Linked DNA regions of Cricetulus griseus. The protein of the gene in region 6 purifies or fractionates together with the protein of the main gene of each other region. This does not show direct contact. Links are inferred from orthologs where the notes say so. Each region holds a gene or a part of one and is shown on either strand. Other genes may lie near its edges. The genes, in order: Polr3c, Polr2h, Polr3e, DNA-directed RNA polymerase III subunit RPC10, Uxt, protein POLR1D and Polr1f.

Region 1 (3,766 bases), on a different chromosome or scaffold from region 6:
CACATACTCCCACACATGCATACGCACATCATACACTCGTACATAGACATAGAATTAAGCACATACACTCCAGAAAAAGAAAGTAGCATAGCCAACACAGAATAATTGATTTCTCATACCCATAGACCTGCCCCCTTCTAAGCTGCCTTTTCTTAGTGACAGATGCCTACTGCCGTGAGTTTAGGCAAAATTCCTTGAAATTCTTCTATCTCACTAATCCCTATTAGCCCAGTTTCCAAAATTACCTCCTATCTAGCTATTTCTTACCATTCCTGTTATATCCCTAGTCTAAGAGACCATGTTGTCTCTTTGTGTGTGTAGAGGGGGTTCTGTGCACGTGTGTTGGTACCCGTGCCTGTGCACATACGCACTGAAGCCAATAGGAGTTCATGGTCCCCCTCAGTTATATAGTAAGTTCCTTGCTAGCTAGAGCTACATGAGACCCTGTCTAAAAAAAAGAAGAAAGCCAAGCTAAAGACTATTAAAATCTACAAATGTGATCTGCAAATGTTAATCTTCAGACTATGGATATGGCCCGACCCAAAAATCACAGGAGAGTCCCTGGGGCTTACCAGCCATCCTGGCCCTCAAACCCAGGGAGAGACTCTGACTCAAAAAGTTAACAAAAGTAGATGCCTATGGTCTAGAAAGATGTGATAGCGGTTAAGAGCACCTCCTATTCTTCCAGAGGGTCAGAGTGTGACTCCTAGCCCCTGTGTCTATAATTCTAGCTCCAAGAAAGCCAACACCTTCTGGCCACCTTGGCAGACACACATACATAACATGAATTAAAGAAAGAAATGTTATGCTGTGCTGTGGTGGCACATGCCTTTAATCCCAGCACTCAGGAGACAGAGGCAGGCACAGAGGCAGGTGGACCTCTGTGAGTTGGAGGTAAGTTCCCAGATAGCCGGGGCTATGTAGAAAGACTCTGTCTCAAAATAAAAAAGTAGCATGGTGTCACAAAGCTCTAGTCCCTGTACTTAGGAGGTAAGTTGAGAAAATGTCCAATTATGCCACATACTTCAAAAAAAGTCAAATAAGAGCCGGGCATTGGTGGCCCACACCTTTAATCCCAGCACTCGGGAGGCAGAGGTAGGTGGATCTCTGTGAGTTCAAGACCAGCCTGGTCTACTAGAGCTAGTTCCAGGATAGCCTCCAAAGCCACAGAGAAACCCTGTCTCGGGGGAAAAAAAAAAAAAAAAAAAAAAAAAAAAAAAGAAGGCCCTTGTGAACAATAGTGGGACTGGAATTCCAGTAACAACTGAAATTTCATATAGAAGTGAAGATAGGTTGAGTAAAGCCAGAAAGTATAGCTAGGAAGAAAAGGAAAGGAGGGAGGAAAGGGGTTGGAGGGAAATCCTTCTAGAAAGAGACTTGAGCAGGGGAGGAAGGAAAGAAGGAAGGAAGGAAGGAAGGAAGGAAGGAAGGAAGGAAGGAAGGAAGGAAGGAAGGAAGGAAGGAAGGGGAAATCTTCTAGAAAGGGACAAACAGGGTAAAAGCTGATGAGAAGAAAGTAAAAAAGGAAAGTCTGCAAGTTTAAAGGACAGGAAGCAAATGTGATCTGGATCCCAAGACCCAGTAAGAGAACACAATCTGAAGTAGCATTGTGGCCAATGCCCTTAGGTAAAAAGACAAGCATTTTCCTGGGAGAGAGGGAAAAAGGAAAGGAGGTGGTTTTCACAATGTTGGATGAGTTCTGGCTTCTATTCTTCCTGTGACATCAAGGAGAAAGTCATCTGCAGAGAGTAAGGGAGGTGTCAGGTGAGAGATTTGAGGGTAATGGAGAGGAATTACCAGGGAGAAGGAAGATGTTGAATTCAGGGGACTTGAAGTGAATGTGTCAGGACACACTCACTAGTTCACACTCTTGATTTCCTTTTCTCTTAACCCATTTAATTGCTACAGTATCTCAAAACAAATGGAACTTTAACATCTAAGCTTACTAGAAAACTGCATTGTGTTTCTTTTAATTTTTTTTTTTAAGATTTATTTATTTATTTGTCATGTATACAGTGGTGCCAGAAGAGGGCACCAGATCACGTTACAGATGTGATCTGGATCCCAAGACCCAGTGAGAGAACACAATCTGAAGTAGCAACCATGTGGTTTCTGGGAATTGAACTCAGGACTTCTGGAAGAACAGTCAGTGTTCTTAACCTCTGAGCCATCTCTGCAGCCCCTGCACTGTATTTCAATGTTTCTCTCTAATCCTTTTCTCACCTCAGCCCATTCCAGACGATGGGATTTATTGGCAAGTCAACCTTGACAGATTCCACCAGCACTTCCGTGACCAAGCAATTGTGAGCGCAGTTGCAAACCGAATGGACCAGGTAACATCTAAGTGGTTCAGCCAGTGTTGAGCAAGAAGTAAGGTCAATTATTCAGGTGGTTGTTAGCTGTGGCCAGCGGCTCAGAGGCATCAACAGTGAATTCTGAATTCTTGTTTCCTTTCCAGACAAGTAGCGAGATTGTGCGGACAATGCTCCGGATGAGTGAGATAACCACTCCCTCGGGTGCCCCATTTACCCAGCCCCTGTCCTCCAATGAGGTACACTTCAATTTCCTTTTTGTTTCTTTTCTTTTTTTTTTTTTTTTTTTGTTTGTTTGTTTTTGTTTTGTTGTGCTGTGTTTGGGTTTTTGTTTTGGTCTTTCAATGTAACCCTGACTGTCCTAGAACTTCCTAGGTTGCCCTACTATCCCTGAAATCACAGAGACCCACCTGCCTCTGCTCCCCGGTGCTTCACTTAGAGGTCTGCACCACCACCACTCCTGGTTTAGCTGTTTTTGTGCTAGCTCTCTGATAAACATAGGTATTATAACAGTTATTAGAAATAACTTGTAGGGTTGTGTTGATACCTGTGCTTTGGAGGCGAAAAGGAGTTTCTGTTGTTGGAATAGGGCAAAGATTTCTTGGAAATGGTAAGCACAAGACTGTTTGGCCACTTAGGATCCAGCTTTTTAAAATGTTAAGCAATGGGGGTGGGAGAGATGGCTCAGTGGTTGAGAGCACTTGACTGCTCTTCCAGAGGACCCAGGCTCAATTCTCAGCTCACACAAGACAGGGCACAACAGTCTGTAACTCCAGTTCAAAGGGATCTTACTCCCTCTTCTGACTTCATTGGTTGCTGTTTACACACTGGTCATACGTTCATGCAGGCAAAACATATATATGAATAAGGGAATTAGGAAAAAAAAAAAAACAGGCATGGTGGCACATGCCTTTAATCCCAGCACTCAGGAGGCAAAGGCAGGTGAATCTCTGAGTTCAAGGCCAAGCTGGTCTACAAAGCAAGTCCTAGGACAGCCAGGGCTACACAAAGAAACCCTGTCTCAAAAAAAGTGTTAAGCCATTATTATAGTTAAATATCTGTCAAGTACAACATATTTCTAATTGTTTTAAGAATCTAAGTACCAGGTGTGCTGGCACATGCATGAATTTTACCTGTTTAGAAAGATGCTGAGGATTGCTTGAGTTCAGGAGTTCAAAGCTAGACTGGCCTTTCTCATGAAAGCCTTAGCATTTTAGACATTACATTTCTATTACTTTTATAATTACACTTACTTAAGTCTTGTTATTATACTTTATATTATTTCTAAGTTTTTGTAGTTGGTTGATTTGTTTGGACAGGGCCTGGTCTGGAACTTGCTCTGTAGACCAGGCTGGCCTCTGTTTCCCTATGCTATGATTAAAGGCCCTGCTTTCTGAGTTTTTGACCCTTGTAAATTTGACCCTTGTAAATTTCATGAGTTTCTTGAGCCTTGT
Region 2 (4,479 bases), about 15 Mb from region 6:
TTGGCTTCTCGGGCTCTGGCCTTGACTCAGCTCCCGGCCCGCTGAGCCCGCGCCCGCACCCGTCCCGTCCCCTCAGCCCCGGCGGCCGAGTGCAGAGTGCGACGGTCCCCGGGCGCGCGCCGCAGGCTCAGCCTCTCGCTAGCGTCCCCTCCTTGGCGGGCGGGCCGAGGGCGGTGCCCTGCTTGCTGCTCCGCCCTGGCCCATCTGCAGGGGCGTCCGGTCGGGCTGGGGTCTGCATTGGAGCCGCCTCCTGGCCTCCGGAGAAGCGGCAGGGGGCGCTTGCAACGCGATCTTGCACCCCTTCTCTGGGGAGGCCGGGGGCTGACCCGGCCCCGAGAGGGTGCGGGGCCGGACGGGGGCGGGTCCGCTGGCACGTGGAGGGGACGGGCTCTCGGGCGGCTGCAGCGTTGTGCGGGAGGGGCTGAGGATGTAGTGACTCCAGGGCTGGGGCAGGGGGCTGCTGACGAGCTATCTCGGGCTCTCCAGGCCAGACTCGACTGGGGCAGCCTCTGCTTCGCGTTTGCTGGCGGCTCAGACGGGTCTGGGAGGATTCCTGAGAGCCCGCTCCCTTATCGCCTCCCTTCCTCCTTTCTTCTTTTCCTCCGGGTTCCCCCGGGAAGGTGCACCTGGAACTGCTAGGCCTGGAGATCGGGGCGGAGGTGGAGGTGGGAGGGGACGGGAAGGGGTGAGGCCCGAGGGAAGGGAGCTATTGGTGCGGGGGAGGCTGCTCCTGGGAGGCGGGCGTGGGGGAGCAGAGGTCGCTCCTCCCAGGCATCGCTTAAAGGGGGAACTTGAGTAGCTGCTGACGCCTCGAGGAAGCGGCCCAGTGAAGCTCTACGTTGTCTTTCGGGATCCTTGGAAGGATAAGAACAGTGTGGCGTTGGCACAAAGAGGATGGACAGCGTTAGGTTGGTGCCACTGGAGAGGACGGTGCCCAGAAATCCGTGTAGAAAGAACAGCATCAGGATGAAGACTCATTCAGCAAACAGAGGGTGGTGCTCAAGGGGAGCGTACGGTGCCCAGTACGGGGGCTGCGATGAAAGGAGATAGCACCTGGAAAGAGCGCGCTGCGAGCTGTCGTTTCCCAGGGAAAGGCCAGTGTCGGGTGGAAGCGCACTGGATCAGTGTCCAGAAGAGGGTAGTGTAGTGGGGTGACAGGCAGTACCAAGTTCAATTGGCAGTGTTCTAGGGGATCAGAGTTAGTGCCAAGCAGGGCCAAGGGAAGACCGGCGTGGCGAGGAGGTGAAGCCCCAGGCGAGGGCACAATGCGGGCTTTCCTTTCCCTGACAGTGACATCACGGCAAATTCCCAAACCGGACGGACCCGGCTCGGGTGACGTCTAGCTGGTCAGAGCCAGCTCGGACCAGCGTGGGGAACCTTGGTGGCCGTCCGAGGGGCTGGGCACTGCGTCCCGCTGGGCGGGCGCTCTGCGGGTGGAGTTCGGCTTCACCCTCCTGCAGCACGGACTGTGCCCTCGGCGGGCACGCGGACCGCAGGGAAGGGCTAGGGCCGGGCTCCCTCTGGGCCAAGGATCAAGGTTCCTGGCTGGGTCCGGTCCCGGAGCCTTCCAAGCATCGGGATCCGGGGTCTGAAGAGGGCGCCCTAGAGCCGGGCGCATCGCGGTACCCGCCGGGGGTGGGACTTAGTCTGTCCCCGCCTTGGGCGGAGTCACCGCGCTTTGAGACTCGCCCACAAGGTCCGAGCCACTCCGAGGTGGCCTTTCCCGGCGGAAGTGAAGGAGCCCCGAGGGGAGGCAGCGGAAGTGGCTGCGTTGCTGAAGCCTGTGCGCATGCGCCCTGCGGCTGGTTGCCGCTTTTTGGGGCGGTACTCTGCCCTGTCTTCTTTTCTCCACGTGAGGGGGTGCGCGAATTCCCAGTGGTGGCCGCGCGCTCCGCACCTCTGCAGTTCTCGTGCCCCTTACGATGGCGGGCATCCTGTTCGAGGATATTTTTGATGTGAAAGACATTGACCCAGAAGGCAAGAAATTTGACCGAGGTAAGGTGTGTAGGGGAGGTGAGGAAGAGGCCAAACATGCCCACCCACCCCAAGTGGCCCGTCCCACCCTCTCGGTACCTCCCTCAGGAAACAGTGTTTTTCATAATGAGAAACTTGGGACAGCTTTTCCTATGATGTTTGCGGTGTCTGGTGCCTCGGTGGCCCTTGGCTTTGGGGTTGGGAAAGCCCTGGACACCTTTCTGACTCCTTATTCAGTATTACGTGCTGTATGTACCGTGCGCCTCTCTCGCACACTTAAGTATTGTAGTAAGAAGTGATGGTGCCCGATCTATTTTGTTACTTAAGGCCGTGCAGCGAGTTACCTCCCTGTCTTCCTAACCCATAGTTTTGTATTGCCCCAAGAATTGTTAGCCCTTTGCCGAGTCCTCTATAAATTTCATGCAGCTGACTGCTTGGTGTATTCATTTCCCAGTAATCCGGAAGTTGTTTCTTCTCAGTGTCACTTTACCTGGAGACAGACCCCCCCCCCCCCAATACAGATTCTCTTTGTAGCTCTGGCTGTCTTGGAACTTGCTTTGTAGACCAGACTGGCCTTGAACTCAGAGATCCACCTGCCTCTGCCTCCCAAGTGCTGGGATTAAAGGCGTGCCCCCCCCATTTTTAAAGACAGGTGTCAGTTCTCAATACACCCTGCCTATTCCCTCCGCAGAGTGCCTACTAGGAAGTGGGGATCTCTGGACTAATGACTATCTTGTTCAGAGTTGAGTTTAGTCTAAATCATCCAGGTGTGCTTAGAGCCTAGAGACGGGTTGCTGCCAGAGAAGTTCTGCTTCTTTCTTGGGATCCTGACACTTGCTGAGGTGTTTACTCCCTTTCTTCTCTGAATCTGATTTGGATTGCACTCTGTGTCTGTGTCCCAGAGCAAGGCTAATGGCTGTGGACTAGTTGAAAGATTTGTTCTCCTGCATTCGACCCCGACTCTGTTGCCTGTAATTATGTCTGTCGCTCTTTCCCAGTATCTCGGCTGCACTGTGAGAGTGAATCTTTCAAGATGGACCTCATCTTAGACGTGAACATTCAGATTTACCCAGTGGACTTGGGTAAGTGTCCAACACAGGAGCTAGCAAGTGAATTTTTTTGTTTGTTTGTTTGTTTTTCGAGACAGGTTTTCTCTATGGCTTTGGAGGCTGTCCTGGAACTAGCTCTTGTAGAACAGGCTGGTCTCGAACTCACAGAGATCCGCTTGCCTCTGCCTCCTGAGTACTGGGATTAAAAGCATGTGCTGCCAACGACTGGCTTTAGCAAGTGATTTTTATCTTTGGTTTCCGCTTGATGCTCTTTTCAGGTGACAAGTTCCGATTGGTCATAGCTAGTACTTTGTATGAAGATGGTACCTTGGATGATGGTGAATACAACCCCACAGATGACAGGCCTTCCAGGTGAGGCGGTGGTAAAGGAGGGACTAAATAGATAAGTAGTACATAGAATGGTCTTTATTTTACTGCTAGAAAAAGACATTACTGCACTTAGAATTCACACAACCAGAACTGGGTGTGATGGTTTGTGTCTGTAATTCCAGAACTCGGGAGATGAGGCAGGAGGATGAGGAGTTCAAGAACACCATTGGCTGCACATCAAATCTGAGACCAACCTGGGCTGGAGACCCTGTCTCTAAAAAATTTGAAAAAAATTTCAAACAACTGGCTTGATTACTTAGTGAGAGCAGTGAGTGGAAGCTTGTGAACTGCAGTTGTTTATTTATTTGAGACAGGGTCTCACTTTGTAGTCCTGGTTGGCCTGGACTATGTAGACCAAGCTGGTCTCAAACTCACAGATGACATCCACCTCCTCTGCCTCCTCAGTGTTGGAATTAAAGGTATGTACCACCACACCCTGCAAATGTAGCTTTTTTAAGGCCTAGAAAATGATTACATAGTAACCTAGATTTTGGTGTGACAGAAAGACTGTGGAGTATTGGGTCTGGTGGTACACACACTTAATCCCAGCATTTAGGAGGCAGAGGCAGGAGACCTCTGTGAGTTTGAGGCTAGCCTGGTCTACATAGCCAGTTAGGACAGCCATGACTATATACTGAACTTTTACTTCTCAGCTCCACTACTTCCATCTTCCATTTCCTTATCAATAAAGTACAGACAGTCATTTCTAGTTCACTGAATTGATGTGAAAGCCAAATAAGGTTGCGCTTCCATGGCATTTGTTGTTATCAGTTTCTATTTTAATTATTTCTATCTTTTTGGTTTTTCGAGACAAGGTTTCTTTGTGTGGCCGTGACTATCCTGGAACTTACTCTGTAGACTGTCAGGCTGGCCGAAAACTCACAGGCCTCTGTCTCTGCCTCTGCCTCTGATTCCTGAGTGCTGGGATTGTGCCACCATGCCTGGCTCAGTTTCCATTTTTAAATGTCTCTTACACTATTGATTGCTGTGAAAAGTAACTTTGCCTATTGTTTGTAGGGCGGACCAGTTTGAGTATGTCATGTATGGGAAAGTATATAGGATTGAG
Region 3 (3,766 bases), on a different chromosome or scaffold from region 6:
TGACTTTCACTGAGGTGGACAGACAAAAGGACACAACTTACTGGTCAAGTGAAGAGAGGACTAGCCCTTCTACCTTCCCCACCAGTGTTTGTAGAGCATCAAGCTCCCAGCTCCCAAAACTCCTAGAAGTGTGAGCAATGACAACAGTGCCCAGCAATAATCACAGCTGATGGCGAACTGTATGCCAGGTTTGTGTTTCTCACAGAACAAATGTGAGGATCTACATGGGAAACCAAGGAGTACGGAGAAGAGTCTGTCATTACTAGGTCCAAAAAGAGTTGAAAACTCCCCCACATCAGCTGGTTGGAAAAGGTAGAGCCAGGATTTGAAACCAGACTACCTGTGAAGCCTCGGGGAGCCCAGGGTAAAGCCTGGGGAAGGTCCAGAATCCCCTACAGTAGCCCAGGAATGGCACAGTTCAGCAGAGAGCCCCACCCCCAACTAGGCCTAAGGCTTTATTTACACTGGCTTCTCAGAGAAGCCCAGAGCTTGGGACTCAGCCCCCAAAGGATCTGTGCCTCTGCCTAAGAGAAAAAGGAGCTAGTCCTTATTGTGTGGAGCCCAGTAAGGCACCAAGAGTGAAACAGTCCTACTTCACATCCCGTGTGAGACTGTGCTCAGCCCCATCAGGGTCCAGGAACCTCCAACTAGTTGGCCTGACCAAAGCTCAGGCCAACCTGCTCAGAATTCTGCGGCAGGCAGCTGGCAAAAGCTCAAAAGCCCACCTGAAGGGCCAGTCCCACCTGGGTGACCTGACACAGTGGTGCATTATGTGATCTGCCCAGACAAGAATGGAGCTGCCAAGCTGGGCAGACTCTAGGGAGCAGGGGCTGCTGGCTTTGGCCCTGATGCAGAGAACAGCACTCACCATTCTTCATCAGGACCTTAATCTGATCAGCCAGGGGCAATGTGCGCAGCTGGGCCATGGACAGGACATTGCTGGGAGCTACTGGCTTGTCTCTGTTAGAAGAAGGGGTGAGTGGTTAGAGAAGGCCAGTGGGAGGTAGTGGGAGATACTGGGGGTTGGGAGAGGTGGGGAAGACAGCCCTTACTCACTTCTCTTCCTCCGGGCTGGGTGGCATGAGCATCATGAGGTATTCACTGTAAGGGGTGGGGGTGGAGGGGTGTCAGAGGCTCTGTGAACTCTGCCTCACCCCTGCATGTGAGCACAGACCACAACCAGGTTGAAACTTGGGGAAGTGTAAGAGGCTCATTCTTCCCATCCCCAATAGTCCCCAGCTCCTAGACAACAGCCCTATAGAACATAAGGATCACCTATCCCAGGCCACTCTCCTGGGACCTCTCCAGGGACAGTGTCCCTCCTTTACCCTGCCCACACAGATAATGGGCCACAGTTCCAACAGAAACTTTCTCATAGCCTCTAGTGAGCACCAGCCAGTCCCACCTGGGTGATTTGACAAGCTCTGTGTTCTCCACCCCACTGGATCCCTGGCACAGCAGGTACTGGCGCTCATGCTCTGAACGGCTATCCTGTGGGGAAAAGGCAAAACAGATCATGACCCCACTCCAGCCACTCACTACCTGCTCCACGGCCAGCCACAGGCCCATATGCAGTGTCTTGAAGACAGCATACCCAAAGCCTCTGCAATGTGGTGTCTATAATGCAGAAACACCAGCAAGGACTAGAAGTGAGCTAGCATTCACTAAGCACTGCTATGTGCCAGGCTGGGTACCAATGCTTACTCACATAGTAACTAACTCTACAGGGCTCTTACTATTCCTGTTTCACAGACAAGAAAACTGAGACTCTGAAAGGGAAGGCAATTTCCCCAGGGCTACACAGGAAGAAGCTGTAGTGTATGTAAGTCTGACCCTGAATCTAAGGTTCTCCCCATACTAATCTCTTCCTGAAGGTTTCCACTGGTCCTTCCTGCAAAGATCAGGAAGCTGTATTCCAGGCACCTAGGAACCAATGTCCAATTACTTCCTTTACTCAGTGTACCATCAGGTACTAGGCTACAAAGCCCTGAAAACTGAATATTAAAACTTGTCCTGAATAGGTAGGCAATAACCTGAGAATATGTGACAGATAGAAGATTCTTTAGTGCGACCCCAGATGAAGTATCTATCTGCAATCAGCATTCATGGTGTGTACAAAACTAACCAAACGCCAGCCCAACTGCATGCACAGCTAGGGGGCTAAAAGCCCTAAACTGTAACAGAGGATCTCTGCTCCCACTCTGACACCTACTAAGTGGATGTGGACAAGTTGCCAACTGCTCACAGTACCTTCATGCTCTCTATGCTACAGCCAAGTAGCCCAAACACACTGTGAAGCGAAAGGTAAGACAAGCAGCTACCTGGCATCAGGCTCTTCCCCCAGGTCCTGCCCAGGCTCACCTTCACGCCATAATAGTGCAGGTGGACCCAAGGTTCCTCTGCATGCTTCTTCTGAAGGAACTCATAGGACTGCACACGGCGCTGGCGGGCCTGCTCTGACTCTGGTCGAGAGAATCGCACCTGTGGAGAGGGGAAAGGTCACATCCTCGGGTCTGTGGCCCCCATAGCTCTTGACAGACAGACAAGACAGACAGACAGACAGACAGACACACGCACACACTTCATAGCACTTGCATTCTACCTCCCTCTTCGCTTTTGAAATTCAGTCTGTGAGTTGCCATTGCAAGATGAGTGTTGTTTTCTTGCTTCTGCTGACCCTGGCCACGGCTTTCCAGCTGGGCCACAGGGGTAACAAAGCATACCTTTTCAGATGAGGGTGATTACCCAGGAAGTTTTAAAGGCTACCCAACAAGCTGCTGAGAACAGGACAAGGCTTAAGTTCTCTGCCACATCACTTCAGGAGAGCACAGCCCACCAAGATGTGCAAACTCTATAGCCATTTCCATGCCTGCTGCACCATTATTGAGCAGCATTTTTCTTTCATGCTCATTGTAAGCTACATATACATGAATAATGCATAAATAGGAGGAACTTCATAATCATGAATGGAAAGCTAATATTCTTCTAAATCTTTCAAAGTCAAGATTAGCATGCTAACCACTCTTCTGTACCCATCAAAAAGGCAGAATCATAAAGGTAATTAACATGGAACTTTGTGAGCCTGTGTGGCTTCATGGGGCTCCTAGGCTGTACCTCCCTGTTCCCAGGTAACACCTGCCACGCCCCAGGATCCCAGCTATTACACAGAACAAGGCTATGCTATTTACAACAGGAGTCAGGTTGGGCAGGGGGCAGGTTACTCCCTCCAGGCAGCAGATGAGGGGACTCAACAATACTATGTGACTGTTATTCTCAGGGATGGGGAAGTCCGTTCTGCTCAGATTCTGTAGCTCTTGCTGTCTTTTGCCATCCATGATGTTCCCTCCTACCAGGACCAGAGCTCACCGTGATCTGCTTAACGTCCTCTTCTGCCTCGTCCTGAGAAGAATCCCCTGCTGCAAAGCAAGCTATCAGTACAGCCTCTGCTGGGACTGCTCATTCCACTCCAACACCACCCTTCCCCAGGAAGGCCAAGGTTGGGGGAGGTCTGCGGCTTTTGGGCTGTGGTCTTAACTTTAACTCTTAGGCAATGTCTAACAATCTGTGGGGACATTTTTGGTTGCCCTAAATGTGGAGTTAGGGGCATTCAGTAGGTAGGAGTCTACAGTGCCAGTAATCATCCCACAATCTGACCAATTTCTTAGGCCCAACCTAGCCCACCCAGACCACAGACTGTCAGCTGGCTCACCCTCATTGGCTGCCTCTCTCTCACGGTGCTTGGCATCTGCCTTATCCAGGTAGGAGA
Region 4 (4,464 bases), on a different chromosome or scaffold from region 6:
CTCAGTCTAGAAACACAGGGAAGGGCCTGTGTCCTGTCCCAAATGATGTGACAGACTTTGACAATCCCCCATGGAAGGCCTCACCCTCCCTGGAGAGCAGAAGGGGGATGGGATAGGGGGATTAGTGGGGGGCATGGGAGGATGGGGGAGAGAGGGAACTGGGATTGATATGTAAGATAAGATTGTTTTTAATTTTTAAAAAATCTAGGAAAAAAAAAGAAACTGAGGCAAGAGGCTTGCTACAAGGCTGGCCTGAGCTACACAGCAAGATTCTATCTCAAAAATAAGCAAAAGCCTTGAAAGTGGAAAATGAGTAGAGGCTTTTGTTTTATTTTGAGATAGGGGATGGAATGAGGAGATGGGGGGGGGAATGAAGGACAGGATGGAGAGGGAATTGGGATTGGTATGTAAAATAAGATTTTTTTATTGTTTTTAATTTAATAAACATTTTTAAAAATAAAAAAAGACTAGGGCTAATCATTTTTACAATATTGGTATTTGAAAATACATACAACAGAATTCTCTTGAGAAGCCTGTACCCACTAGAGCATGGACAACTGTCCTTTTACACCTCTCGCCTCCTCTCAACAACCATCAATATTTAAGTTTAAATCAACATTGAAACTTTTTTGTAATAAACCCCAAATTTGTTTCAAGAAGAGAATATGTACCAGATTTTTACTTATACTTGCCCATATCTGTCCTGAGAATCTAAATGAAACAACAGAGCAGGTATCAATATGGTGATTTTCCTTTCAGTATATTTAATCCTTGAAAGAAATCTGCTTTAAAAAAATTTAATATGGCCAGGTGGTGGTGCACATGCCTTTAAACCTATCACATGGCAGGCAGGCAAATGGATCTCTGAGTTCGAGGCCAGCATGGTCTACAGAGAGAGTTCCAGGACACCCAGGGCTACACAGAGAAACCCTGTCTCAAAACACAAAATCAAACAAACAAAAAGGTCTTAATGCCTTGCTTAGAGTTTAAAGAATGACTATATTGTGACTACAACATATCAAAATATTTCCTGTATTGGCAAACACAAGCTATTTGTCATTATTGTTTATATTTTCTTAAATTCTTTTATAACTACTGGTTGAGGGGGTGGGAGTTGGTAAACAACTTTTCATGAATCAGCTGTCTCCTTATACTATCTGGGCTCCAAGTATCAAACTCAGGTTAACAGGTTTGGAAACAAGTGCTTTTACCTGCTGAGCCATCTTACTGGTCCTAACAATATACAGGGTTGCATTATAATAAATAACAATAAATTTATTATTATTAAGTATAATAATAAGTAATAATAAATAGGGTTGAGTCACTGGCTCTGTAATGGGAAAATTCTCACCTGCAGTAGAGTCCACATTCTCCCAGGCAGCTGCTCCACCAAGCACATCATCCACTTCTTTCAGCTTTGGATACTTTCGGTTTGTTACCTAACAAAAACAAGTCATCAGATTTTAAGAAATCATATAGTTTTAAAAGCAGGCCACCAAACTATAACTTTCCTCCAGCATTTCCTCTACTCAGTAAATGGATACAAAATTTATCTTCTTCAAAGAGCGACAAGAGCCATTAAAATGTAGGGGTTTTGTGACTGAGATATTCCCAAAACAGCACAGTTTCAATGTCAGAGACCCCTAGAAACTGGAGGAAACAGCAGACAGTGCAGGAAGACAGCTGAGTTAAACCATGCTCTTCTCTCATACCCCTAATAACCCAACATGAAAGACAGACAAAAGCCTAATAGCACCATTTATCTGGGTATCCCAGCATTCCCAGGGACACATTTCGTTGCTTTAGTCATCCTTCAATTTTCAAAAATTATGTCACCATTCAATCTTATCACATATCCAGACTCCAAACTCCTACCATACAGCTCTTAAGTGCAAACATTAAAAATGAGGTATCACCAAGGCCTGATGATACACATCTGAAATCACAGAACTCAGGACACTGAGTTAAGGAGGAACAAGAATGGAAAGGTAGACAATACAAAGGGCTGTAAAAGCAGCTTCTCTGGGTTCCAACACAAGCACCACACACACAAAGCAGCAACAATGACATATATTAGAAGACGATGAATCCTGGGAAAAGAAAAAGGAATGAGAATAAACTGGAAGAGCTGGGTTTGGTTTCTTCGTTTACTTAATTTTCATATACATATGCTATGCAGCCCAGGTGAGCCTTGAACTTAATCTCCTGCCACAGCCTCTCCACGTGATGGAATTATAGGCATGTACCAACAGCCAAAAGGGAGAGGGAGAGGGAGAGAGATAAAGGAAAAGGAAGAGAGAAACAGACAGACATACCCACACCGAGGGAGGGAGGGAGGGAGGAGAGAGAGAGAGAGAGAGAGAGAGAGAGAGAGAGAGAGAGAGAGAGAGAGAGAGAGAGAGAGCGCCAAATGGCTCGTTGGGAAAGAAAACTCGGGCGAAAGGAACGTGAAGGAGCTAACAGTACTGCGTGCACTTTTGGAGGTAAGATCCTCCAGAATAGCGACAGGATCTGGGAGCAAGAAGAGCCACAAAAAGAACATTAAGATTTGAGATCAGAGAAGGTGATAAGCGTATTGGAGCCTGGCGTGCGGAGGACAGCTGTAGGTTTTAAAGGCGTGGTTCAGCCTAGAGGTAAAACGGAAATCTCGCAACCTTTTGGGTGTCACAAAACCGGCAGCAGAGAGCCAGAGGCAGAAATCTCTGAAGTGACCAGAAGAGTGGCTTCGATTTGGCCGGAGCGATGCCACTGGATTACCAACTACTGAACTTGAGGTACTTCCACAGGTGAGCAAAAAAAAAAACTACCGCCCGCAGGAAGTCTGAGCGCACCGACAGTGGAGGAGGCGCTCGCCTCTGGGACTCACCTTGCGTGTGATATTATGCACGTAGGGGCAAGTGTTGCAGGCGAAACGATGGCAACGCTGTCCCTCCTCCACAATTAGTCCGTTTCCACAGCTCGGACAGAAAAGCAACATTGCTGCAGATCCAACAAGTAAGCTCTTACTGTCTAAAGCTTCCGCGGCCGCAGACGCCCAATAGAAGCGGCCACTGGCACGTACCCAGAAGGCACTGCGGCAGGCAGCTCTCACATGCCATTGGTCAACGCAGATAGTCCTTCCCACCCTCCAATAGTGCGCTGTCTGCCTTCCCAGCTTTCCTGTAATGCCTGCGCGTGCGCACGGATCTCCCTGACGCAAGCACAGGCTTAAATGGCCCGAGAGATGGGGCTGGCAGCTGACACGCCTGACCTACCCGGGAATAAGGTTCGGAGGGAGGTACAGGTGATGAGAAGACAGTGCCGCACTCCGAGCCATGGACGTGTTCAGGAAGGTCTTGTCACAGTGGCGCAGGACCGGCTGCTTCGCATCTTCTGAGCCGGGACTGACAGGCAGAGACTAACCTAATGTCCCAGGGACTTTAATTCAGCCCCTAGTGTTGATACTACCTCTCTGCTGCTGTCTGCCTAACGTATGAATACCTGTCTATCTGTACTTACCATCTTTCCAATCTGACCATTTCTTCACCTGGTCCCAGTTCTGCCATTTCACTTATTTCACTTATGCCATTTCACTAGATTCAATTCTACAGATCAACTCTGACCTACAATACCAGCAGTTCCTCTCCACAGACCTCCATCTGGTTCTTTTGTCTCATTCCTATAGACTCCTTTACGTTTCCCAGTTCTGCCTTCTCAGACCTCTTTTAAATGTCTTACCTCCTTAATCCTCTGCAAGAATTCTATAACCTACACAGGGAGGGGTTGGGGTGACTCCTGTGGGTTTTTTGTTTTTGTTTTGTTTTATTAACTTTAACAAGTTAGTTATCTAGAAGAGGAATCCCAATTGGGAAAATGTCTCTATCAGACTTATAAGTAGGTAACTCAATGGGGCATTTTCTTGAATGCAAATTGATAGAAGTGGACGCAGCCCGTTGTGGGCGGTGCCACCACTAAGCCGAAGGTCATGCGTGAAATAGGAAAGCACTACGAAGGGGCTAAATGGTTCAGCTTAAGAGCACTTGGCCTTCTCCTGTAATTGGTGACTGCGCTAATTGTCACCAGAGAGCATTCATCCAGTAACTGATGGAAGCAGATGCAGAGATCCACAGTCAGGGAGGAGGAATTGTACGAGTAAGAGGGAGTCAAGATCGTAACTTGGGGAACCCAGAAACAGCTGACCTGAGATAGTGGGAGCTAGGGAGCCTGCATCAGACCGATTTAGGCCCACTGCATGTGGGTGACAGTTGTTTAGCTTGCCCTGTTTGTGAAGCCCCTAGTAGTGGGATCAGGACCTGTCCCTGGCGCATGAGCTGGCTTTTTGGAACCTGTTCCCGATGCTGGGATGCCTCACCCAGCCTTGATGCAGGGAGAGAAGCTTGGTCCTGCCTCAACTTAATATATCATGCTTTGTTGACGCCCATGGGAAGTTCGCGGCTTTCTGAACCAAGGAGTGGTGGATGGGAG
Region 5 (4,385 bases), on a different chromosome or scaffold from region 6:
CTCACTCTGTGAGGAGAGAACTCTTTCGGTCAATGAACTTGAGAGCTTCAGCCAGTGTCAACTCCAGGAAAAAACCATATCCCAAGGCCACATAGATGCGGGAAGTATCTGGGCTGAGGAAAGAAGTCAGAGGAAGTGGAGGAAGTCTTTATTACCATTTAGCACATTGTATAGTTGAAGGTGTTTCCTATTCCCTCCAGTTCCCTAAAGTTAAGGCTCTGTAAGGGCCGGTATTTCATGTTCATTCACTTCACACCCACAGCATGTAGCTTACATCCTAGTGCAATATAAAAGTGACCAGAGTCTGGTATATAGAACATATTAAGAAATACTTGTTGCATGAAAGAAGGAAGAAACTCGGAGGGGAGGGAATACACTCACACCATTGTGTCAACGAAGAAGTTACAGCCCAAATCCACCTGCATATATAACTCCGAGTGCTTAGTTTCCTGTAGGGCCAGGAGAAAAGAAGTAGGTGTCAGTGGCCAATTTTTAAGGCAGGAAAAAGGTTTTGTTTTGGGGTTTCTCTTCCCATCTTCCTTCTTTGTACACATATACAAACTGATACCCAATTTAAAAGCCTTTACCTGGAGTCGCTCAATTACATTTCTCAGTTGAAGGTATACAGACAGCTGCTCATATACCTTGTCTCGATGATCCAGCACCTTTCTGATACGTGGAAATAGAAGAGTGATCATTAGGCAGCCCTATTCCTCTTGAGATATCTCACATCATGGCCTAAAAGGCATTTTAAGCCAATTATGGTAGTTCACGAGTGTAATCCCAGTAATTGAAAGACTGAGGCAGGAAGATTATGAGTTCAAGACCAGCCTGGGTTACATAGTGAGATCCTGTGTTACACACACACACACACACACACACACACACACACACACACACACACACACACACACACACACGGAGACATGAGAGCGAGCGAGCGCATAGTATAGACAGAGAAAGACACACCAAGTATTTCAATAAATACAAGTCAGACTGTATTTCATCCTGAGCTCTAACTCTTACTAGCAATGTGACTTTGGCATTAGGAAACCTATTTGGGACTTAGTTTCACAACATATAAAATAGAGATGACAGTATTACCTCATAGGAACCATTAGACTCAAGTGTTTACTATAAAATGCCAGCCAAATGGTAAACACTGTATCCTTTCTATCCATCACTATTACAAATACTGCATTGTACTCAGTGCCTTATGCCAATTAAAATGCTCCATCTTCACCCTACACATACCTTCCATGCTCACACTGCTCTAGTTCCAAACTTTCTGTTCACATTAATAATGACAGCAATACTAATCATCTAATTATTGAGTTTTTAGTATGTTTCATCCACCGGAGCTAAATTCCTTTTCAAAACTATCCAGGTTATTTGTTTTTTATTTTCTGAGACAAGAACTGAGTTTCCCAGGCTACTTGTGAGTACACAAGACAGTTCTTTCCTCTCAGCCTTAATACAACTGTAGTATAGTTGGGTTTATGTAAAGTTTTAAAAAGTATTCTTACTTAATGTATTTATTTTGTGTACATGTATGGGTGCCGTGGTACACCCATGTGAGTCATAGGACAGCTTTTGGGAGTTTTTTTGTTTTCACTATGTGGATCCCAGAGAGCTAGCTCAGGACATGGAAGCAAGGCAATCCATCTTGCTGGCTCCATTGTCTTCTTTTTTTGAGACACAGTCTCAGAGCCTAGGCTGTACTCATCTTTGAAATATAGCTGAGGATGATCTTGAGCTCTGGATCGTCCTGATTCACCCATCCCAAGTACAGGGATTACAAGCCTGTGTCACAACACTGGGCTTTATTTTATCAAAACCATGTTCTACTGTTAAGGCTGGCTTGAACATCCTGGCTAAAGAAATGAATTTTTCCACCTCTCCACTAGATAGGACTACTGACATGCACCACAGAGCCTGAGCCTGGCTTCATTCTAATTTTTTCCCCCTTTTAGAGACAGTCAAGTTTATATTCCAGGCTGGTCTCCAACTTCGAAGATCCTCTTGCTTCTGCCTCCTTCGTGCTGGAATTACAGTCCTGTGTTATCAGTCTAGGCTTTGGGTTACATTCTTTACCTGGGTAGACACATTTAAAACTCAAAACCACCACATTAAGAAGGCTCCATAAACTTTCCCATTCCACAGATGAGCAAAGTTTATAAAGCACAGAGAGGAGAGGTGATGTACAACTTTTTCATAAGTAATGGCTAAATGGCCCAGTCAGAAATGTCGTGGGTTTTTATGACTATTTTAATCCGACGAACGACGCCAGAGGCTCCACTACAAGGGCCAAGTTCCAACCAAATCGCAGCCCGGACGTCAACCCCTCTTCCCGGCCAATCCGAAAGTTTTCCCGGGATTCTGTCCCACCCACCACGTGGAATTTCTCAAATGTCACGCCTAGAATCTGCGTTGTCACTCACTGCAAGTCTCGCTGCAGTACGTCACTGATAAAGGCCTCGTACCGCAGCACTTTCTCTCCTACAGTATCCAAGGCCCGCCGTTTCGGGGGTGTCGCCATGATAGGCTTCCTGGGGAGTGAGGAGGGAGAAAAACCACGTTGAGTGCTCCTGTTTAACTTCACAAAGTTCTCTCCAACCTCTTAACGTTGGGTATGACTTCTTTCGGCTCATGCTACGGGGTTCCTCCTTCTGCCCAACCCGACTCTAACACGCAGTCACTCACCGGTACCCAAGCGCCGTGCTTACCTTAGGGCCACCTAAGGTTAGAATGAACCGCGGTTTCCGGGTGGCGCGGGTGGATGACGTGTTTCCAGCATGGAGGGGCGGTCCAGAATGAGAGGAGACCGCCTGAAAGTGGAGCGCTGAGGCGGGATCTTAAGGAAACCCTGGAGAATACTAGGAAGTCAGAGGGCGGGCTGTCTGCTAGCCGGCTAGTGGTTGACAGCCGCGGGTAGCTGTTTCGGGTGAAGTCTAATGAGCTTTGCCGGGTTCTGAGGGAGGTTGGACGCACAGGAAGGTAGGGAGAGGGAGTAAATCGTTTACAGCTTGTTTGAATCGCGCGCGCATGTTTGAGCGAGCGCGGCAGCGGTACTGGAGTTAAATGCAGTTGTGAGCTCCCATGATGTGGGTGGTAGTAACGGAGTTCACATCCCCTGCAAGAACCTTTTGTGCTCTTAAATGCCGAACCATTTCTGTAGCCTTCTCGCCGGTCTTAATTGTTTTTTTTTTCTTATTTTATCTTTTTTGTCTGCATGCGTGTGCACTATGTACGTGCAGTTCCCGTGGAGGCTAAAAGAGGGCGTCGGATCCCCTGGAGCTGGAGCTACTGAATATTTGTGAGCATTGGGAATCGAACCTGGGGCGTCTACAAGAATAGCCAGTGCTGTTAACCATAGATCCATCTATGTAGTCCCCACCTTTTTTTTTTTCTTTTAAAATCATTTCTATTCTTTGAGAATTTCATAACATGTATGCAATGTATTTTTGCCATATCCACTCCCTACTCCCTCCTTCCAACTCCACCCAGACCCCTCCTACCTCATTTCCCTTCCACCTTCAAGTCCTCTTTAGCAAAACAAACAAACAAACAAACCTCACTGAGTTCACATAAGCATTTGATAATTTAAAAAGCACAAGATTGCCTATAGACTAGTAAGGATTATGGTACTAATCTATAAAGAGGGCAGTATATCCTGTGGCAATTGGTAAATTTGAATATTGCTTATTTTATAAACACATACGCCGGGCGTTGGTGGTGCACGCCTTAAATCCCAGCACTTGGGAGGCAGAGGCAGGCGGATCTCTGTGAGTTCGAGGCCAGCCTGGTCTCCAGAGCCAGTGCCAGGATAGGCTCCAAAGCTACACAGAGAAACCCTGTCTCGAAAAACCAAAACCAAACCAAACCAAACCAAACCAAACCAAAACAAAAAACCCCAAAACATACACGTATATTTCACACACATGGTTTTGGGTTTCATCCTCCGTAAAAGGAATGGGCAGGAGCACATAAAAAATATTTAAACAGACACAAATTTTAAGAAGTTCTTGGATGACTTCTGCTTGGTTGCTTGCATTCCATGATCCAGACTTAGGCAGAGACTGGCAAAATGCTGTGCTTAATCACCCCACATCATAGTTATATGGTCCATCATTGGAGTCCTCTACTGAAGATGGGCTAACTTGTAGTTAAGAGTGAATAATTCTCTCTATTTTTATTTAAATGTTTAGCAAGTGAAGGGCTGAGCCTGGAGGATAACCTAGATGCTAGACTCCCCTAAATGTTTTTCCCTTTTGAAGGTCCTAGAACACTTACCTCTATCTAGAATGCATTTCCAAATGATTCTTGCATTCAGTACGTAAAACAAAATTTTATTGTTTTTTTTTCTTCAAATGCTAAAATGTAAA
Region 6 (3,101 bases):
GTCATTTTTGTTCTGATCACAGTGTCTTCAGCTTCTCCACAGTGTCCTTCCCAAGTCTGATGCCCAAGGGCAGAACCCACAGACAAAGGGTCCATGGAGCAGCAGCCTGTAGCTTCAACCCGGTTGTGTTCTGGTAAATGCTGGTGCTTTCCTGAAGTGTCAGTCTGGAGACAGAGAGGGAAGCACCTACAATATGAGGCTGTATTTTACACCATTAGCTTTTTACTTTGAGCACTGGGAGTTGAACCCAGGGCTTCTCACGCACTGCTCAGCTACATCCCCAGCACTGCTGGGAATGCCTGATTACTGGAAAGCAAATCACTCCCCCGGTCTCTGCAGACATGTTGTTTCCCAGATCCATTTGGACTTGCTGCTTGCCTTAGGTATTTCAGGCGGCCTGGCATGCACTGGTAGATAGACAACAGGAGGTGATCCCAGTTCAGTGAGGAGGTTGAGAGGGTGTGTGTTTGTTACAAAAATACTGCCCTTTGCAGTATTTCAGGACTGCAGAAATCCAAACCTTCACTTTATACCTCAAGATCATGGGGCCCAGAGAAGTTTCCTGAGACTTCATCCCCACCCCCAGCAGACTCTGCTGAGGGATTGAAACCAGGTGCTATCTGCTTCTGTACCAAGTCACTGCTCTTCTCTTCCTGCCTGGGAATGCTCTGTGGTGCTTACTGGCTCTGCATGTGCTCCTGTGGGATCTGCATGTGCTCCTGTGGAATCTGCATGTGCTCCTGTGGGATCATGGTCTGGACAAAGGCCTGTGTGCTGCGGCACAGGAGACCTTCCGCTGGTCTCAGCTAACCTGTGTATGTCCCTCCTGCCTCTGTTCCCCTCAGGCTTCTCCCACATAGCGGAGATACGCACACTGATAGCCGGGTTTGTCTTTGCTACATAGGCCTAATGTGATGTCCCATAGATGGGAGAGACTCGGGTTTTGAAAATGAATAAATACTTTTATATACATACATTCTCCCCCATGCACACATATACCCACTGTTTCACATTACTTTCTGGTACAGTGTTGGGGACACAGTAAGCTTTGGGAGTGTTGAATGAAAGGTAATTAAGGAGTATCATTTCTCAGATGGCCACATGCTGAGGCACTTGATTGCTAAGTTGTAAACTGAGCTGCCATGGGTGATTATGGTAGCTGTGGCTGCATTAAACAACAACATGAGTTGTAATCACCATAGCATCAAGATAAATATCACCTCTCTGCATGGGGAGGGGACACACTTGCCTCTGCCTCAGTCTTTCCAGAGGCGACCTTCTAGTCTTGTAGCATCCAGAGTATAAAGGGCTTATGTGGAGCAGATGTATCCCTGTCACTGGCGTGGGCATGCATTTGTCTGTGGACTAGTGGACAGTGGGCTGCCCTTCATGTAGCCTTGTTTTCATGACCAAGGCATTTGTCTGCTGTAAATCATCATTCCCCAGACCTACTGGACTTAGAGTCAAGTGATGCTTCTTTGCCCTGACATTGTGTATGCTGTGACTGTCCTGTGTTCCTGAGTGGCCAGCCATCCTTAGCGCTGTGTGCCTCTGTTCATCTTCTGCTGGATGGAGATACCCCAGCTACAAGTACAATGAAGCACTTCCACCTGCGATTGCTTCCCTGGTTGCTTGTCACTTAGACTATGGCGACTTTTCTCCAATTCTGCCTTAGCCAAGGTGTGGTGTCAGGTGACCCTGCTGTGGTGGTGTCTGCAGAGTCTCCTGAGGTAACACTGTAATGTTCAGACACAGGGCCATTGTACTGTCTTTCTATGATCTTGCTGTTCCATCCTGAATTGTTACATGCCCCAGGCTGGCCTCAGACTCATGGCAGTCCTCCTGCCCCAGCACCTCATGTTTTAACTCTCTTGTTTATGTTTTCTTCTTCCCTCTTCTCCTCCACAGGATGAAGTGTCCTCTTGCTGGCACAAATAAAAGATTCCTAATTAACACAATTAAGAACACCCTGCCCTCCCATAAAGAGCAAGAACATGAACAAAAAGAGGGCAGCAAGGAACCTGGCCAGAGTCAAGACCAGAAAGAGACAAACTCAAAGAAGCACAGAAGCCGCTCGTCTAAGCGCAGCCTGCACTCAGCCCGAGGCTCACCCCCAAGGAAGCGGGCCTCCAGGGACAAGGGGGACCACCGAACCAGCAGGCGATGAGCAAGCTGCAGGGCCAGCCCAGTACTGTGCCTGCCACTGGGTGCAGTGAGGACAGGGAGGTGACAGGACTCTGACACCTGAGAATGACTTTCCAGTGGGTCCTTTGTTTTAAGATGGCTGTTGTTGTGTCATTGTTGTTGTTAACAGGCAAAACAAAACAAAAAACAAAAAAAAACAAAACAAAAACAAACAAAAAAAAAAACTTTTACTAAAACAAGCCCTTGTCCTGAAGGTGTCGTGGAAGATGACTTAGCTTTGCTATGCACATCCATGTTGCTTTATCCTGTCTTGTTTGCAAGTTAATTTCAAAACAAGCAGTTCTAGAATTTGAAATTTTCAGGTTGTTAAAAACTAGTCCCAGTTTTTTTGATGTATTGCACTTTTTGTGGTCATTTCCCAGAATTTCTCAAAATAAAATACTTAGAAATGCTATGCTTTCCTCTTTTAGATGTCAAAGGCTAAGCTCACAGTCTGACTAGTGGCCATCCTGATAAAACTCCACCACGCTGTGTGTTTTCTAAGTGGCCAGGATGAGGAGTGCTCACACAGCTTTGGACTTGATGTTCCATTCTCAAACTCATCCCTTAGACAAGACTGCTTCCTTATACTTACTTTTAAATATACATGGTCTGGAGATGGTGGCTGCTGAGTCTGGAGAATAGGACTATACATGACCAATTACAAGGGAAAAACAGCGAGACTCTTGCACTCCTATAGCATGTGAAGTCCAGTCCATTCATGTTCTCATCCAGTCAGTCAGTCAGTCAGTCAGTGCTCTCTTAGAGAACCAACATGAAAGCAAGCACATGCTAGTGCCACATGAACTATTTCACTACTGCCCAAAAAGCTAGGTTATGTGTGTCTGTCATATTTAAATGTGTGGAGTACTTGTTCAGCACAGCATTTGCCTCGTCTTAAACATTTTGGGGACCCC
Region 7 (4,260 bases), on a different chromosome or scaffold from region 6:
ATTAGAAGAAAGGAGATATGATAGGTAGGATTTTAGTTGGGGGTGGTAGCGGAGGAAGGGAGGGAGAAGGGAACTGGGATCCTCATGTAATTCAATCTTGTTTGTAATTCAAATATATAAAAAAGAAAAAGAACAAAAAATAAAAAAGGGGGATGGAGAGATGGCTCAGAGCTTTAGAGCACTGACTGCTCTTCCAGAGGACTTGAGTTCAATTCCCAGCAACCACATGGTGGTTCACAACCATCTGTAATGAGATCTGATGCCCTATCCTTGTGTGCAAGCAGAACACTGTATACATAGTAAATAAATATTTAGAAAAAAATTAAATTAAAAAATAAAATAAAAAAAGGTAGCGTTGTGGATCCTAGTCTAAATGGCTGTATCTACAGTACAGTTCCACACCCAGTGCTTAGGTGTCTTTGCTGAAGAAGGTAGGGAGGTTGTAGAAGCCACGGGAACAGTTTACTTTGGACAGTGCTCTCCAAATGGAGCCTTGCTTCTTCTTTGAGTCTTCCTGCTAATTTGATTCATATTTAGGTGTACCACAAAGGCCCAAGGCCGATGGGGGGCTTAGCCACGTGAAAAGCATGGCAAGACACCCTCACAGTGATTTAGCAGAAAGAAGAGGGAAGCCAGATTGGAGAGATATGGTGGTTTTGGTTCAGATGTTGCCTTTTGAGATTTGTGGGCTTCTGTGTAGGACTGGGTTCAACAAAGGAAACACACTCCACTAATGCTTCATTCCTTAACTGAAAAACAGCTTCAGAGCATAAGCAATTATCAGGCAGCATTGCAACTGGAAAAGGGCATCCCGATTAAGGCTCAGAAAACCTTAACCAGGCGTGCATGCTTTTTATCGCAGCTCTCCTGAAGCAGAGACTGGGAGATCTCTTAAGAGATCTGAATCAGCCTCTGAGTTTCAAGCCCGTCAGAGCTACAGGGAGAGACACTATCTAAAAACAAAAAAGCCAAAACACACAGCAATAGTAATTTATTAGACCTTGGCCCAGCATTGAAAGCGACTGAAGAGACTGAAAAAAAAAAATCAGGCTATATTGGGCCTCTGCCTTTTTTAGTTCCTAGTATCCAGATCGCTAAAATCAAACTCCTCCCGGTAACAGCGCACACTTCCCAGTGAGAAATGCTCTACCTCTGCGGCCGCTTGTCTGGATTTGGGAACGAGCAGCTGCCCTCTGCTGGTCACACACGTCTAATGCAGCCTCCGGAGATTAAAAAAGTCCCCCCGCCAGGGCCGGTCGCTGGTTGATGATGTCATCGGGCGTCGGAGGCGGGGCGCGGACGCTGGCGTCAGCCGCGCGCCCCGGAAGCACCCAGCGAGCCGCATGGCTGCGGGCTGCGTGGAGTCTCCGCGGCCCAGGGCGGGCTCGGAGCGGCCGGCGGCGGGTCCGGCCGGGGTCGTGCCCTGCCTGGAGCTGCCCAGCTATGCCGCGGCGTGCGCGCTGGTGAGCGGCCGCTACTCGTGCCTGGCGGCCGGCCCGCACCGCAGGCACATCGCCCTGTCGCCGCGCTACCTGAGCCGGAAGCGCACGGGCATCCGCGAGCAGCTGGACGCCGAGCTCCTGCGCTACTCGGAGAGGTGAGGTCCCCGCGCTGCCGCCCTCCGGCGCCCCGCCGCGCCCTGCGCCCCTGGCGGGCCCCGGGATCCCCGCGCTGCGGACGGGCGGCTGCTGCTCGGCCTTCCGAGACGAGGATCCCGGGTCGCCGTCCGCGCCGGGGCCCAGCTCCTTCCTGACAGCAGCGGGAGCGGCTGCGCCCGCCGTGCACACAGCGCTCCCAGTGTGGCGACCCCGAGTGCCCGGGGTCCCGAGACCCAGCGGGCCGAGCTTGCGAAAGCTTCACTTAGCCCCTTCCGGGTGTGTTCTCGTTCGTAGTGCAGTTTTGCTGGCAGTATACCGGTTTCTTTCTGCGTCCTTGGAAGACAGCATATATAAACAAGTCGTTTCCTGGCAAAACCTAGGCGCGTTTGTTGTTTGCTTAGGCTCATCTCCCGAGGTTTTCTTTTCTAGGGCCCAATCGGGGAACGCATGGTGAATATCCCCCTTTGCCTAGTTCTGTTTGTAGGAACCGTTCTTTCGACACAAACAAAATAAAATTAGCATGTTTATATTAAGATGCTCAATTGCAACCTCAAAAACAAAATGTCTCAGAATTACATCTCGGCATTTCAAGCGGAAGTGGTAATGCCTTAGTACTTCATAACAAATTATTGTGGAGGGAGCGAGGTCCTAAGCCTGAGGCGTATGGATTCCCCGAGACATCATTGTCCTTCATTAATTCTGTGAAACTTCGGAGTTGCAGGGATTTCTGTGGTGACTGTTCTTAGGCAAATTATCTAAAGCTGTTACCACTTCTCGAGGATTTGGGCACAACCAACCCCATTACTGTTAAGCCCGCCTAGACTAAGCACTGGTACATCCCGTTATGTCTGTATGCCTTAGGCAGTTGGATAGAAAGACAAATAAAAGTAAAATCCTACTTTCAAAGAGCTTTGAGCTACTGTGGGGATATAAATGTAAGCTAGATCTAGAGAACTGTTAAAACTTGACAGACCTAAAATAAGTTGTATATAGAGAAGTGAAGTTAGATCTTGTAACTTTTGAGAACAACACAATAGGGTGGTAGTTAGATGGTGGCATTCCAACCAGCGAGTGGCATAGACAGATGGACCAGAGCATAGTAAAGTGTATCTGCATTGACGGTTAAGTCAGGTGAAACATTGGATGTCATTGATTCCTCAGTGGAGTTTCAAAGACTGGGAGGTGACTCAGAAGATGGTCATTATTGTTCTTTCCCTTCTGCCTTTGTCTGTCTGTCCCTCTGTCCGTCCCTCCCTCCCCTCCCCCCTTCCTGCCTGCCTGCCTGCCTGCCTGCCTGCCTGTCACTGTCTATTTTACTTTGTTTTTTTGTATTAGACCTATTTGTGTGCATGAGTGTTTTGCCTACTTGTCTGTATATGTACCATGTGCATGCCCGGAGCCCTCAGAAGTGGGTGGTTGTTAACCACCAAGTGGGTACTGGGAATGGAACCTGGGTTCTTTGCAGGAGCAGCAAGTGCTCTTAACTCCTGAGTCATCTGCTTGTGGTTCTTACAGTACAGTTGTTGTTTAATCCACTTATTAGCCTCCAACTGAGACATGGTACTCTCTTGAGAGGAGTAGTGCATGTCTGCAGTCCCTGGGATAGCTGCAATTTAAGAAACAATTTCGAATAGGTGATATTTTAAATAGAGAGAGGCAGTAGACAGAGATCAATTAGCAATTTTTGTGATTATCTAAGGAAAATGATTAGAAGTTTGAAAGATTTAAGAATATACAAGGTGATATTTTAAATAGAGAGAGGCAGTAGACAGAGATCAATTAGCAATTTTTGTGATTATCTAAGGAAAATGATTAGAAGTTTGAAAGATTTAAGAATATACAAGGTGATTATTAAATATGAAAATGCAGGCAATTATGTAGTATTGCCATTGGGGAAAAATTGAAGCAGTTATTATAAACTGATAATTTCTGTAACAGAATTGGATAATGCACCTGTGTAGAATAGAATATACTCTTAAGTTTATCTGGATACCTTCCTTTCTTGAAGGTATGCTTAATGAAACCTTTTTTCTCCCCCAGTACAGATTAAGTTTCAGTATTATTCCAGTATTAAGAGTGTTAATAAAGCAAGGGAGGGTAAAACCATTAAGAATGTTGGGAATTGTATTATAATATTAATTAACTATTTATCCTGTATAGTTTATGTTTTCAGACTTGTCCTCTAGCATTCATAGATCTGTATCCTTTTTAAATTGGGGGAGGGGGAGATTGAGACTCCTCCCGGACTCCCCTTTGCTTAAGTCATCTCACCAGCATTCCCTGCCTGACAGACTTGCCCTTCTTTTCTCAGTGGCAGGATTTTTAAGAAAGGTGTCCCATTTCAACTGTGGACTGTTCTCTTAGAGAAAGTGGTTTTCTAAAATCACATTATGACTTTTAAGTTGAATCTGTAAGAGGCCAGTTGTGGGGAAGTGAAATAAAACAAAGCCCATTCTTTTCCATTTGGCATCCTTGGGTTATTTAAAGATGTCAAATGCACTCTCTCCTAGTAGTTCCAAAGAAGTCTTAAATGCTCAAATCCTCCTTTCAATTGAACTAAGTAGGTTACGAATAGTACTAAATTTTTACATGTGGTAGAGGAGTGGTTTCTTTGGGGGTCGGGGAAGTTTTCTTCAGGAAGTATTTGATGTGGGCGATAAAT

The links.
Region 1: the proteins of protein POLR1D (region 6) and Polr3c purify together in Homo sapiens (affinity purification with mass spectrometry; 3 studies listed by BioGRID and IntAct, with this or other methods). This does not show direct contact. The link is inferred for Cricetulus griseus from reciprocal best matches to the Homo sapiens genes POLR1D and POLR3C.
Region 2: the proteins of protein POLR1D (region 6) and Polr2h purify together in Homo sapiens (affinity purification with mass spectrometry; 4 studies listed by BioGRID and IntAct, with this or other methods). This does not show direct contact. The link is inferred for Cricetulus griseus from reciprocal best matches to the Homo sapiens genes POLR1D and POLR2H.
Region 3: the proteins of protein POLR1D (region 6) and Polr3e purify together in Homo sapiens (affinity purification with mass spectrometry; 3 studies listed by BioGRID and IntAct, with this or other methods). This does not show direct contact. The link is inferred for Cricetulus griseus from reciprocal best matches to the Homo sapiens genes POLR1D and POLR3E.
Region 4: the proteins of protein POLR1D (region 6) and DNA-directed RNA polymerase III subunit RPC10 purify together in Homo sapiens (affinity purification with mass spectrometry; 3 studies listed by BioGRID and IntAct, with this or other methods). This does not show direct contact. The link is inferred for Cricetulus griseus from reciprocal best matches to the Homo sapiens genes POLR1D and POLR3K.
Region 5: the proteins of protein POLR1D (region 6) and Uxt purify together in Homo sapiens (affinity purification with mass spectrometry; 3 studies listed by BioGRID and IntAct, with this or other methods). This does not show direct contact. The link is inferred for Cricetulus griseus from reciprocal best matches to the Homo sapiens genes POLR1D and UXT.
Region 7: the proteins of protein POLR1D (region 6) and Polr1f purify together in Homo sapiens (affinity purification with mass spectrometry; 3 studies listed by BioGRID and IntAct, counting the BioPlex papers as one, with this or other methods). This does not show direct contact. The link is inferred for Cricetulus griseus from reciprocal best matches to the Homo sapiens genes POLR1D and POLR1F.

Annotation. Positions count from the first base shown.
Region 1 is NW_023276806.1:59,778,390-59,782,155, forward strand, and holds part of Polr3c (DNA-directed RNA polymerase III subunit RPC3), read left to right. Parts: intron 1-2,228; coding exon 2,229-2,333; intron 2,334-2,458; coding exon 2,459-2,551; intron 2,552-3,766. UniProt on the Homo sapiens protein: DNA-dependent RNA polymerase catalyzes the transcription of DNA into RNA using the four ribonucleoside triphosphates as substrates.
Region 2 is NC_048597.1:67,932,058-67,936,536, reverse strand, and holds the start of Polr2h (DNA-directed RNA polymerases I, II, and III subunit RPABC3), read left to right. Parts: upstream 1-1,580; 5' UTR 1,581-1,922; coding exon 1,923-1,995; intron 1,996-2,972; coding exon 2,973-3,056; intron 3,057-3,301; coding exon 3,302-3,395; intron 3,396-4,430; coding exon 4,431-4,479. UniProt on the Homo sapiens protein: DNA-dependent RNA polymerase catalyzes the transcription of DNA into RNA using the four ribonucleoside triphosphates as substrates.
Region 3 is NC_048596.1:79,721,212-79,724,977, forward strand, and holds part of Polr3e (DNA-directed RNA polymerase III subunit RPC5), read right to left. Parts: coding exon 3,710-3,766; intron 3,417-3,709; coding exon 3,367-3,416; intron 2,482-3,366; coding exon 2,362-2,481; intron 1,492-2,361; coding exon 1,406-1,491; intron 1,102-1,405; coding exon 1,057-1,101; intron 961-1,056; coding exon 869-960; intron 10-868; coding exon 1-9. UniProt on the Homo sapiens protein: DNA-dependent RNA polymerase catalyzes the transcription of DNA into RNA using the four ribonucleoside triphosphates as substrates.
Region 4 is NC_048599.1:60,231-64,694, forward strand, and holds the start of DNA-directed RNA polymerase III subunit RPC10, read right to left. Parts: upstream 3,058-4,464; 5' UTR 2,978-3,057; coding exon 2,867-2,977; intron 1,440-2,866; coding exon 1,352-1,439; intron 1-1,351. UniProt on the Homo sapiens protein: Core component of RNA polymerase III (Pol III) which synthesizes small non-coding RNAs using the four ribonucleoside triphosphates as substrates. Can mediate Pol I proofreading of the nascent RNA transcript.
Region 5 is NC_048604.1:125,813,271-125,817,655, forward strand, and holds the start of Uxt (protein UXT), read right to left. Parts: upstream 2,821-4,385; 5' UTR 2,727-2,820; exon of another isoform or gene 2,550-2,726; 5' UTR 2,540-2,549; coding exon 2,442-2,539; intron 670-2,441; coding exon 588-669; intron 450-587; coding exon 382-449; intron 114-381; coding exon 6-113; intron 1-5. UniProt on the Homo sapiens protein: Involved in gene transcription regulation. Acts in concert with the corepressor URI1 to regulate androgen receptor AR-mediated transcription. Together with URI1, associates with chromatin to the NKX3-1 promoter region.
Region 6 is NC_048597.1:82,963,350-82,966,450, forward strand, and holds the end of protein POLR1D, read left to right. Parts: intron 1-1,908; coding exon 1,909-2,167; 3' UTR 2,168-2,599; downstream 2,600-3,101.
Region 7 is NW_023277425.1:46,257-50,516, reverse strand, and holds the start of Polr1f (DNA-directed RNA polymerase I subunit RPA43), read left to right. Parts: upstream 1-1,308; 5' UTR 1,309-1,343; coding exon 1,344-1,597; intron 1,598-4,260. UniProt on the Homo sapiens protein: Component of RNA polymerase I (Pol I), a DNA-dependent RNA polymerase which synthesizes ribosomal RNA precursors using the four ribonucleoside triphosphates as substrates.